3 linked regions of the Canis lupus familiaris genome follow. The protein of the gene in region 1 interacts with the protein of each later gene in a pairwise test. Links are inferred from orthologs where the notes say so. Each region holds a gene or a part of one and is shown in the gene's direction. Other genes may lie near its edges. The genes, in order: methylosome subunit pICln-like, SNRPD2 and SNRPG.

Region 1 (3,475 bases):
ATGAAGTCACAGGAAACAGGATACAATACAAAAACCCACTGTATTTGTTTGCAATGAAAATGTGGACTTCAAAATTTAAAATATAAAATCATTTATAATCACTTAGAAATATGAAATACTCAAGTATAAATCTAACAAAACATGTAGAAAACTTATAAATCAATAACAACATGCTAGCAATCATAAAAAAAAAAAGGACAGGACTGGAGGCATTGTGCTGATTTCAAACTATCATACAAAAGCTATATAGTAATCAAAACAATATGGTATTGGCATAAAAACAGACACATAAGTTAACAGAATAGAACAGAGAACTCAGAAATAAACCCATGCATATATGGCCAATTAATTTATGACAAAGGACCCAAGAACTTTCAATGAGGAAAGGACAGTCTCTTCAATAAATGGCATTGGAAAAATTAGACAGCCAGTGCAGAAAAATGAAACTGGGGACCACTAGCTTATATCATACACAAAAATCAACTCAGAATGGATTAAAGACTTGAACCTAAGACCTTAAGCCAAAAAATCCAAGAAAACATAGGCAGTAAGCTCCCTGACAGTCTTGGTGATGCTTTTTTGGATTTAATACCAAAAGCAAAGGCAACAGAAGCAGACAAACAAATGGGACGACATCCAACTAAAAAGCTTCTGCACAGCAAAGGAAACTACCAACTAAATGAAAAGGCAACCTACTGAAGGGTAGAATATATTTGTAAATCATATATCTGATAAGGGGCAATATCCAAAATATATAAGGAACCCATACAATTCAATAGCAAAAATAAATAAATACTTATTTAAAAACGGGCAGAGGGGGATCCCTGGGTGGCGCAGCGGTTTAGCGCCTGCCTTTGGCCCAGGGCGCGATCCTGGAAACCTGGGATCGAATCCCACGTCGGGCTCCCGGTGCATGGAGCCTGCTTCTCCCTCTGCCTATGTCTCTGCCTCTCTCTCTCTCTCTCTCTCTCTCTCCCCCATCCTCTCTCTCTGTGTGACTATCATAAATAAATAAAAATTTAAAAAAATAAAAAAAATAAAAAAATAAAAAAATAAAAACGGGCAGAGGGATGCCTGGGTGGCTCAGCAGTTGAGTGCATCTGCCTTCGGTTCAGGGCATGATCCCAGGGTCCTGGGATTGAATCCCACATCAGGTTCCCTGCATGGAGCCTGCTTCTCCCTCTGCCTATGTCTCTGCCTCTCTCTTTCTGTGTCTCTCATGAATAGATAAATGATCTTTCAAAGAAGACATGCAGATGGCCAACAAATACATGAAAATATCCCAACATCGGGAGTCGCCGTGCGGCAGCTCCCTCCTGGCCTATGTCTCCGCGCTCCCTGCCGCAATGAGCTTCCTCAAAAGTTTCCCGCTGCCCCGCTCGGCCGAGGGGCTTCGGCAGCAGCAGCCCAAGACCGAGGCTGTGCTGAAGGGCAAGGGCCTCGGCACCGGCACGCTCTACATCGCGGAGAGGTTTTGAGTCTCCGGCCCCTGAGTGAGAATCATCAATGTGCCTGTCTCTTCTGTGAAAAGGTGTGGGAGGTGTTGCTCTTGGCAAGATATCCACCTGTCTTGGTTAGATGGCTCTGGATTAGGATTCTCACTGGAATACCCCACCATTAGCTTGCATGCGATGTCCAGGGACCTAAATGCCTATCCACAGAGCATTTGTATGTTATGGTGAATGCTAAATTTGGAGAAGAATCAAAAGAATCTGTTGCTGAAGAAGAAGACAGTGATGATGATGTTGAACCTATTGCTGAATTTAGATTTGTGCCTAGTGATAAATCAGCATTGGAGGCAATGTTCACTGCAATGTGTGAATGCCAGGCTTTGCATCCTGATCCTGAGGATGAAGATTCAGATGATTACGATGGAGAAGAATATGATGTGGAAGCACATGAACAAGGGCAGGGGGACATCCCTACATTTTATACCTATGAAGAAGGATTATCCCATTTAACAGCAGAAGGCCAAGCCACCTTGGAGAGATTAGAAGGAATGCTTTCTCAGTCTGTGAGCAGCCAATATAACATGGTTGGAGTCCGGACAGAAGATTCAATCAGAGATTATGAAGATGGGATGGAGGTAGACACTACACCAACAGTTGCTGGACAGTTTGAGGATGCAGATGTTGATCACTGAAGATGATTTATGCTGCTGTGGGATTCTGCTCATAACTAGGAAAGAACTAAAGAACTTGGTGCCTCTTCTACTGTGGAGTGGGTGTTGATGAAAGTCTTTTTCCTTCTCCAAAATTTACCTGAACCAGTTCTTTTTTTGAGACAGACTATATACTGAGACAAAAAGTTGTCACCAGCAGAAGAAACTATGACCTTTATTAACAAAGGTGAATTAACTTAACCAAGAGGGTATTTGTAGTTTATCATCTACCCAAAACTTTTGTGTATAGGTATCCTCTGAGTAGGCCTATAGTTCCTGCTTTCACTATATGCATCTTCTGTAACCTGGCAGGCCTATGTGGTGAGAATGCGCAGGTACTTGAAGACATAGGTAGACTGGATGGGAAGGAAGGAGGCTGAATCTAAGATATATCCTTTAGAGCCTAAGGATTCCCTTACCCCTTAAAAAGAAAGACAAAGAGATCTCAGAGAAATCCTGGCCACTGCTTGTTCTTCACAGGGATTAAGGTCTTTTTACTAATTTGGGATCCAGGTTAATTCATTTAGGCATCTTTAGAGAGCCTCTTGGGAAATATCCTAGCCACATGAAATACCACTAATATGGATGCTTCTGATTAGCTTTTACTTCTTTCACCATGTTTCACCAGTCTGTTTTGTTATAACCTCTTAGGTTATAGCCTTTAATTTCTAACCTCTTAGGTCAGTTTCCATAACAAATGAAATTGGGACGAAGTCCTCACAGTACTTCAATGATAATTGTTTTGTCTTTGTAATAGTTTAACAAATAAGTCTAGGTTTTCTATTAAAAAGAAAAAAGAAAAAAGAAAATATCCCAACATCACTAATTTAGGGGCACCTGGCTGGCTTAGTCTGTAGAGCATGTGATTCTCGATCTCAGGGTTGAGTTTAAGCCCCACACTGGGCATGGAGCCCACTGGAAAAAAAAAAAAATCACTAATCTAATCATTGGAGAAATGCAAAATAAAACCAGAGTGAGACATCACCCCACACCTGTTAGAATGGCTAGTATCAAAAAGACAAGAAATAACAAGTGTTGGTGAGGATGTGAAGAAAAGGGAACACTTGTGCACTGTTGGTCGAACAGAAACTGGTACAGCTGCCGTGGAAAACAGTATGAAGTTTCCTAAAAAAATTAAATCTAGAACTATCATATCATCCAGCAATGCCACTTCTGAGTATTTATTCAAAGTGGAATAAAGCAGTAACAAAGAAAAAAAAAAAACAGTAACAAAGAAATATATGCACCCCCATGTTAATTGCCACATTATTTGCAATAGCCAAAATATGGAAGCGATCTAAGTGTCTATTAACA
Region 2 (4,226 bases), on another chromosome or scaffold:
CGCACCTAAGAAGCCCCGGTTCTTCTTCCTAATTCGAACCTCCAGCATCGGAGGTTTCCAGAAGAAATCCTAGGCTAAGGAAAGTCCCTCTAAACCCACCAGGTCCAGCCCACCTCAATCCTGATGGGGAAATCGAGGCCGAGAGAGAGGAAGGGACTCTTCCAAATAGCTGACTTTCAGATTGGAACCCAGAATTCCCAGTGTTACTACTGCAGACTCTCCCTCTTAGGTAGAACCACCTATTACAGAACAAGCCCAAAGCCTCAGTTCGTTAGCAACGGGCATGCGCTCTATCGACGGAGACCGCAGCACCTGCAGCTTGGGCCAGACGACACAGCCACGTCAACCTGAGACCTCAGGGAAGGGGAGGCGGGGAATGAGGGCTCCCGCGGTGCCCGTGCCCCTGCCGGGCCTCACCCGCAGCTCCCGGCCCCGCGGCAGCTCCTCAGTCTGGTGGTGCCAGCCGCTCCAGATGGTGTAGGTCGCCGAAGCCAGGGCCAGGGCCAGCAGAAGCAGAGGCAAGAAGTGCGCCCGCGGGAGCAGGCGGCGCTTGGGCGGGGAGGGCGGCTCCAAGAGGCCACGTTCCCCGAGCCGTAGCCGGGACCGCCCGCGGCCCCCGGAAGGCATGGCAGCTTCGCCCCGAAACCGGTCCCGGACCGCGGATAGTTTAGGCCCAGCCAAATCCCACCCCATGGAATCACCGAACCAATAAACACGAAGAGCGGCTGCACCATCCCACCCACCCTCGGTCAGTGAAACCAATGGCGACCCTCACTCTGAGAACACGCCTTCCTGTCTCCCTGGGGCTTTGGGGTTGGTTCCCCTGAGGGTTGCACAACCCAAAAGGGTAGTGCGAAAGGGAGAGGCTCCGCCTCAACGGAGGAACGGAAGCCAATGAGCAATGTTTGATCCTGAAAAACGTTGGACCAAGGAGCAGGTCTCCGCCCCTCCCGTAGGAAGGCAAAGGATTGGTTACTCGAAGTCGGAAAGATCAATAGACACGTAAACGAACCGACACCGATGGAAAAGGGGCGGTGCCCGTCCCAGAAGCGAGGAGCCGATTGGCTACACGGAGGCCGCGCCCCCGAGGGCGGAGCCGGCGGGCTTTTGGAATGCCGTGTCCTGTCCCTTCTTCAGCTTGTGCCGCTCTACAACGAAACGATTTGAGTCGGACCCGCTTTATTCTTCTCTCCATTGTCTTCTCTCCATATGGTCCTGAAAGACCCTGAGCTACTACGCAGTGCTTCTACCCCACGTCTGCGCGGGGCCGGCGCGGATTGCCACGGCAACAGGCCTCGCCCACACCGTGCAGGTTGGGATTGCGCAGGCGCCGACGGAAGTCGGCCACAGGAAACGGAAGTCCCGCCTGTAGCCCTCTCTTCAGAGGCAGGAGCAACGCGGGGAAGACGGAGCTGATCTGCGAGCGCAGCCGCTACCACCATGTGAGGCCCGGCGGGAGTGGGGTCGAGGGCGTAGATGTGGCCGTTTGCCGGTGGTGGGCGAGGCGGGATCGGAGGCAGAGGTTTTAGGGGTAAAGTACGCACCGTTCTGACGAGTTTGAGGATGGGCATGGGGCCTTTTACGGGTCCTGAGTTCGAGGGAAGGCACTTGATCAGTTAATGAGCCGGGATTTCCCCGATAATGAGTCTCGCTGAAATGGATTTTAAGGGGAAGCAAAGAACCTGGGAAACGGGAGTGCGGAGTTTTAGAAATAACGGTTTGAGGTACGGGACTTACCCGGACAATTTGAGCTGGAGAAGTTCACCTCATTCGCGACTTTTTCGGCTCACGAATCGCCTTAATGATTTTCCTGATTTGGTATTCATTCAGCAATTATTTATTGAGCACTCATGTATTAGGCACTGCTTTAACTACGTGAGATACATCAGTGACTGCGACCCCCATCCCGCAAGAAAAATGCCCTGCTGCAGCTTATGGGTGTGGGAAAAGGCAGACAATGAACACACCGGTGATAAAAATGTAAAGTGTATGGCGTGTGTTAGGTGATCAGAGCTAAGTGAGTAAAGAAGCAAAAGAGCAGGATCCAAACAATGGGGAGTACTAGTTTTGAGAGAAAGTAACTCAATAACCAGTGCAGGACACATTGAGAAGGCAGCAGTTGAGCAGAGACCTGAAGAACCTGAGAACCACAAAGATACCTGGGGAGGTATCCAGGCAGAGGGAAAACGAAGGGAGATGCCCAAGGTGAAAGTCTGTCTAATATCTTATATATTTTTTAAAGATTTTATTTACTTGTGAGAGACACAGAGAAGCAGTATCCCCACAGGGAGCCCGATGTGGGACTCGATCCCAGCATCCCTGGGTCAGGATCTTTTTTTTTTTTTTTTTTTAAGATTTTATTTATTTATTCATGATAGACATAGGGGGAGAGAGAGGCAGAGACTCAGGCAGAGGGAGAAGCAGGCTCCATGCAGGGAGCCCGATGTGGGACTTGATCCCGGGACTCCAGGATCGTGCCCTGGGCCAAAGGCAGACGCTAAACCGCTGAGCCACCCAGGGATTCCCCCTGGGTCAGGATCTGAGCCGAAAGCAGATGCTCAGCCATTGAGCTACCCAGGCGCCCCTTGCCTAATATCTTAAAGGACCACCTTCAAGGCCACTGGCTGGAACAGAGAAGGATGGGAAGATGCCAGGCATTGTAAAAACTTTGGGTTTTACTTTTTACACAGAGATGGGAGCCATGGGAGGGTTTCGAAGAGTGAAATGATATGACTTAGATTTTGATACAACCTCTGGGACTGCTGTGGAGAACAGACGGTCAGCGGCATGGGCTGAGGTAGGGAGACAAGTAAGGCTCTCAGGAGAGAGATGATAGAGGTTTAGGCCATGGTAAGAAACAGATTCTGGGTATATTTTAGAGGCAGATGACAGAATTTGCTGACATTGAATGTAGGATGTGAGAGAGAAGAGTCAAGTTGATATCAGGGTTTCTGCTCAAGGAACTAGAATGATGGAGATGAGGAAGGCTGTGGAAAGAGTAGGTTTGAGTGATTGGGAGATCTGGAGCTCAACTGAGGATGTATACGGTTGGAAATGTCTATTCAGCATCCAGCTGGTGATGCCATGCAAGAGGGACTGAGCAGGGGGGTGGGTGGGTTGGGGAGACATCATGTGACCACCCACGCTCTAGCTCTGGGCCTCTCACCTACGGGTTCCATGCTTGCCCCTCAGGAGCCTCCTCAACAAACCCAAGAGTGAGATGACCCCAGAGGAGCTACAGAAGCGGGAGGAGGAAGAGTTTAACACGGGTCCGCTCTCTGTGCTCACACAGTCAGTCAAGAACAACACCCAGGTGCTTATCAACTGCCGCAACAACAAGAAGCTCCTGGGCCGTGTGAAGGCTTTCGACAGGTAAGCACCTGGGTCCTGGAAGGTGTTCTGTCTTGGAAATGCAGACACAGTTCCAGTGTGAGGAACCCAAATACAAGGTTTTCAGAGTCCTGGGGCATAAGCATATTCAGACCTCAAAGTGCAATGGTGTCTTGTTGTCCTTCCAGCTGTGCAGTACAGTAGTGATGGGCATGTACTTGGGAGCCAGGCTTCCTGGGTTTGTGTCTCGACTCTGCCTCTTAGCAGCCATGAAACCTTCAACAAGTAACTTTATCTCTTCCATTCAATGGCAGTAATTCTGGTGATTGCAGAGATTCAGTGACTTAATACATGTGATGTGTAATACAGTCATTAGAAGTACAGCATCTGGCACCAGGAAGCTCTTATTAATCAGGTTTTGCAGTTACGATATAAAGTACCATGCCCCAAAAGAAAAAAATAAAGTACCATGCCCAGTACTTTTTTTAGGCTCCAGAGACACAGCAATGACTGAAAGAGGACTCCTATACTTAAGAGAGCTTATGCCATAGGTAGGGAAACCAACAGCAAGCACACAAACAATGTGTCATAAGAATAGTAAAGGCAGGTGAGAGTGTGGAGTGCTGGGAAGGAGGTGTTGTCCTAGACGGTAACGCTAGGGGTTCCATAGGAAGAGACCGTGATGAACAGACCTAAATACAATGAAGGAGGAAGCCAGGGTCTGAGTGTTTCAGCCAGAGGGAACAGCAAGTGTTATTTCCTCTCTCGGCCTCAGTGTCCTTGTCTGCAAACTGTGCGTCATAAAAATACCCCTCATAGAACAGTTGTGAGGATTAAATATTTCTGTAGGAAGGGTACTTGGCTCAGTAGCTAACATGATAAATGCTCAATAAACA
Region 3 (4,224 bases), on another chromosome or scaffold:
ACAGGACAATCTCACAGTGACACTCTCCTTTTTGAAGGGAAAGGGGTTTTTGATTGCACCATTTACCAGCATCCAGGAATGAACACTGAAGGAGGAGCTCTTGTCTTCTTAATTAAGAGAGTTATTAGGTACTGGCTTTGGAAAAACCTGGCTTTTATGGAACAGAATGGGATGAAAACCTAAACTCAGTATTGCTTATTTTGCCCCCAAAATAACAGAGTCCTATTCAGACAATCACTTGGTGACAGGAAGGTCAAAGGAGAAAAAGTAGGCAACTCAAGGGTGGGCTGTGATCCCTTTAAAGCAGAAGAGGGGCAACCCCCCACCCCATTACCAAATGCCACCCTTGCCCCAGGACCTTTGCAGCAAGCCGTGTTCCTGCCCCAGCTCTAGCACCTTTTCATTTTGATAAAGACCTTACTGTCTTTTTACCAACTTAGTACTTGAAATGATGATATAGCCTGCGTTGGGTGTCTCAAGTCTGTGATCTATTTTCCTAGTGGTTCAGTTTTAAAAAATAAATAAGGTTTAGTTTTTTCCTCCACTACGGCGTCTCTCGTATGCGAGCAGTGAATCTACAACTTTCTTAGGATGCTTCTCTTTGTAATGTGTAAAATAAGTGTCTGAAGACGTCGTGAAGAGTAAAAACTCGCTGTGATTCAGACGCGGGACTGGTTCATTGTAAATGGGGGAAAACAGGACAAGCTAAGGCCCTGGGACTCGGAGTCCATTAATGTAAAAATAACCGTGGGAAGGCTAAACCATCCATTTCGGGACCGTAGCTGCTTGTAAGCAGCGAGAGGTGGGAAGTTGGGCAAATGCCACCTGTAGGATTTTGAGTGCTAGAATGAGGCTCAGTCTTTTATTCGTATTTAAATAGAGCCATTCCTGGACATTAGGGAGGAACTGAATTTTGGAGAATCATCCTCTACTCAGAATCACCGAGGCCTAAGTCTTTTTTTTTTTTTTTTTTTTTTTTAAGATTTTATTTATTAACGAGAGACACAGGCAGAAGGGAGGAGCAGAGCGCCCGATGCGGGGGCACCGCAGGCTGATCGACCTTGGCAGGACCAGAGCCCAGCCCTCCCGAGCGCGTGCGCACTGGGCACGTGCGAGGACGCTAACCCGCGCAGGTCGCAAAGCGAGGGATCCGCCAGCTGCGCCGACGACTTAGAGACCCAGCCCTTACGTCAGTTTCACCAATCAGGAAACGGAATTGAGGAGGCGACCGGAAGTCCCACCCCATGTAGCCCCATGCAGGCCAATCGCTGGCAACGCAACCGGAAACTCGCGGGCGTTCGGCAAGTCCGGGGGCGCCCTCAAAGTATCGCGGGAGGGAATGTGACCTCTGCCGGCGTTTGATTGGCGGCGGGGGCCGGTGACGTCAGGCGCCAAGCGGCGGGAGCGTGAGGGAGCCGTGTGGAGGCCTCTGCGAGCTCGCCGAGTCGGCGCCATGAGCAAGGCTCACCCTCCCGAGCTGAAAAAGTGAGTACGCGGGAGGGCCGCGTGCGGGTGGCGGCGTCCGTGCGCCGGGGCCCCGCTCGGGGGGCGGCAGAGCGGCTCCGCGGGGCGCGAGGACGGGGCGGGGCGGCGGTTTCCTTGAGCTCTGTTCTCGGAATCTCCCTCCGGGGCGCCCGGGGGCCCAGCGGGGTTAGCGCCGCCCGCGGCCCAGGGCGTGACCCGGGGTCACGGGTTCGAGGCCCGCGTCGGGCTCCCTGCGTGGAGCCTGCTCCTCCCTCCGCCCGGGTCTCTGCGCCTCTCTCTCTCTCTCTGTGTCTCTCTGTCTCTCTCTCTCTCTCTGGGTCTCTCATGAATAGATGAAAATTTAAAAAAAATAAATTTTTTTTTGATCTTGTGCAGAAGTTAAGACTTGGATGTCACGTGATCTGTTAACAGCGCTGTGGGGGAACGTTCATTTTTTTCTTTTTTTTTAATCCAAGAAAAGTAAGTTTTTTTCTTTTTTCCTGCATCCAGTAAAAATCCCCTCAAAACCGGATGTTCCTACTTGCGTGGGCCCGGGCTCGGGGACGCTGGGCCGAGCGTGTGCAGGGCCTCCCGAGTGCCTCCGTCTCGTGTCCGCCGCGCAGTCCCAGGATTTCTGCACGTGGTAGCGCAGAACAGGAGAACGGGACCCGGGGGTCGCTTTGTGAAACAGCCGTCCGCCCTGTGCGTGGGTCACGTCCTGCCAGCCTCGTGGAGGAGTCAGACTGCAAGAAAAAGCCGTATTTAGTAATTGTGCTTTTTTTTTTTTTTTTTAAGATTTTTTTTATTATTTATTTGAGACACAGGCAGAGGGAGAAGCGGGCTCCATGCAGGGAGCCCGACGCAGGACTCGATCCCAGAACCTTGGGGTCACGACCTGAGCCAAAGGCAGCCGCACAACCGCTGAGCCCCACCCCCCCCCACCCCCGGGCTGCCCAGGAAATTGTGCATTTAGGGGCGCCTTGGTGGTCAGTCGGTTAAGGGTCCCACTCTTGGTTTCAGCCCAGATCCTGATCTGCTGGTGAGATCAGCCCCGGTGGGCTCTGGGCTCAGCGTGGAGTCGGCTTGGTGTGTCTCCTCCTTCTCTGCCCCCTCCCCACTGCTCGCCTGCTCGCTCGCACGCGCACTCTCTCTCTCTCTCTGGTTCTCGCTCTCAAGTAAATCTTTTAAAGAAAAAAAATAGTTTTACATTGAAATGCATATTTGTATCAAAGCCATTTTTTGTGCAAGAACTCCGTGTATTTTAGCTGGGTCTGTTGAAGTGTTCATCGTGAGCCCGACGTTAAGAAAAATACAACTTATTTTGGAGTTCTGTCTAAAACTCTCTTTCCTTGACGACTTGGCAAAACCTTAGAAGTATTCTCTGGGTTCTTCACGAACTGGTGAGATGCTAATTATTTTTAGCAAAAGAACCATCCTCTACTTGTAATCTTAGATTACCTTTTTCATTTCTTAACAGGTGCTTTTGTTTCTTAACAGATATTTGAGAATTTCACAGGATGAAACTGGTTTTAATAATTTCTCTCATCTCTCGATCTCATGTACTTTGAGACCATCCTCCAAAATGACCTTCAATTTTTTTTCTCTTTTATTTCTTCACAGATATTTTCTACTCTTTTATGCCCTCCTCCTGGTTTAGCTTAATTCAGTGGTTCTTAACTGTGGGGTAGGGAGCCTGTTTCTACTGGCAGGCCGCTAGTGAGTAGAAGCTAGAGATGCTGCTGAACATTGTACAACGCGCTGGACATCACTCAACAGAGTTACCTGGCCCCAGATGTTACTAGGCCGGGGTGGAGATACTGAGACCTAACCAAATTCTCCATCCCACTTCCTAAAAATCACTGCCATGGTGGTATTGCCAATGACTGGACTCTGCTTTAATAATTTATGACTATCTGAACAGTAAAGTGTAGACTTGTTGGCACGGCGTTCAGGCTCTTCCATCTGAAATGCAAGGTGCCAAATATGACACACACTAGTGTGGAGTATCCCATTCTACAGCCAAAATGAACCATTTGCATTTGCTCAAACTTTCTTACTATGTGACTTTAGAAAATCTTTCTGACCCTTGGTTCCTCATCTGTAAAATAGTGATAATAACAAGATCTCACTTAGGGCTAAATAAGTTCATATGTGTTCTATTTGCTGTCTTTTATATATATCCTATTAAATTATTTTATATATACTACAACGTATTTTGGGGTGTTTTTTTTTTAAGGTTTCATTTATTAGAGAGCATGTGAGGGGAGGAACAGAGGGAGAGGGACAAGCAGACTCTGCACTGAGCATGGAGCCCTACTTGAGGCTCCATCTCACAACCCAAGATCATGACCTAAGCCAAAACTCAGGTGCTCAAAGGAGGCGCCACCCAGGTGCCCCAGGCCTGTGTCTTAACTTACCTTTGAATTCTCTCATACATTAAAATTGCATGAAATTTCAGGGGTGCTTGAATGGCTCGGTTGGTTAGGTGTCCAACTCTTGGTGTCAGCTCAGATCATGATCTCATGGGTGGTGAGATGGAGCCCCCTGTGGGTCTCCACGCTCATCAAGGAGTCTGCTTGATAGTCTCTCTCTTTGCCCCTACCCCACTTTTGCAAGTGCTCTCTCAAATTTTTTTTAAAGATTTTTGTTTATTTATTTGAGAGAACATGAGCAGGGAGAGGGGTAGAGGGAGAAGCAGACTCCCTACTGAGCAGGGAGCCCTTTGTGAGACTCAATCCCAGGATCCTGGGATCATGACCT

The links.
Region 2: the proteins of methylosome subunit pICln-like (region 1) and SNRPD2 interact in binary tests that used the Homo sapiens proteins (3 or more experiments, as listed by UniProt). The link is inferred for Canis lupus familiaris from reciprocal best matches to the Homo sapiens genes CLNS1A and SNRPD2.
Region 3: the proteins of methylosome subunit pICln-like (region 1) and SNRPG interact in binary tests that used the Homo sapiens proteins (3 or more experiments, as listed by UniProt). The two-hybrid records come from large-scale screens. The link is inferred for Canis lupus familiaris from reciprocal best matches to the Homo sapiens genes CLNS1A and SNRPG.

The regions. Positions count from the first base shown.
Region 1 is NC_049260.1:41,163,320-41,166,794, reverse strand, and holds methylosome subunit pICln-like, read left to right. Parts: upstream 1-1,346; coding exon 1,347-1,463; intron 1,464-1,621; coding exon 1,622-2,143; 3' UTR 2,144-2,890; downstream 2,891-3,475. UniProt on the Homo sapiens protein: Involved in both the assembly of spliceosomal snRNPs and the methylation of Sm proteins.
Region 2 is NC_049222.1:110,602,185-110,606,410, forward strand, and holds the start of SNRPD2 (small nuclear ribonucleoprotein Sm D2), read left to right. Parts: upstream 1-1,391; 5' UTR 1,392-1,440; coding exon 1,441-1,442; intron 1,443-3,192; coding exon 3,193-3,372; intron 3,373-4,226. Other genes in the region: QPCTL (glutaminyl-peptide cyclotransferase-like protein), read right to left, coding at 418-693. UniProt on the Homo sapiens protein: Plays a role in pre-mRNA splicing as a core component of the spliceosomal U1, U2, U4 and U5 small nuclear ribonucleoproteins (snRNPs), the building blocks of the spliceosome.
Region 3 is NC_049231.1:70,135,022-70,139,245, reverse strand, and holds the start of SNRPG (small nuclear ribonucleoprotein G), read left to right. Parts: upstream 1-1,401; 5' UTR 1,402-1,453; coding exon 1,454-1,485; intron 1,486-4,224. UniProt on the Homo sapiens protein: Plays a role in pre-mRNA splicing as a core component of the spliceosomal U1, U2, U4 and U5 small nuclear ribonucleoproteins (snRNPs), the building blocks of the spliceosome.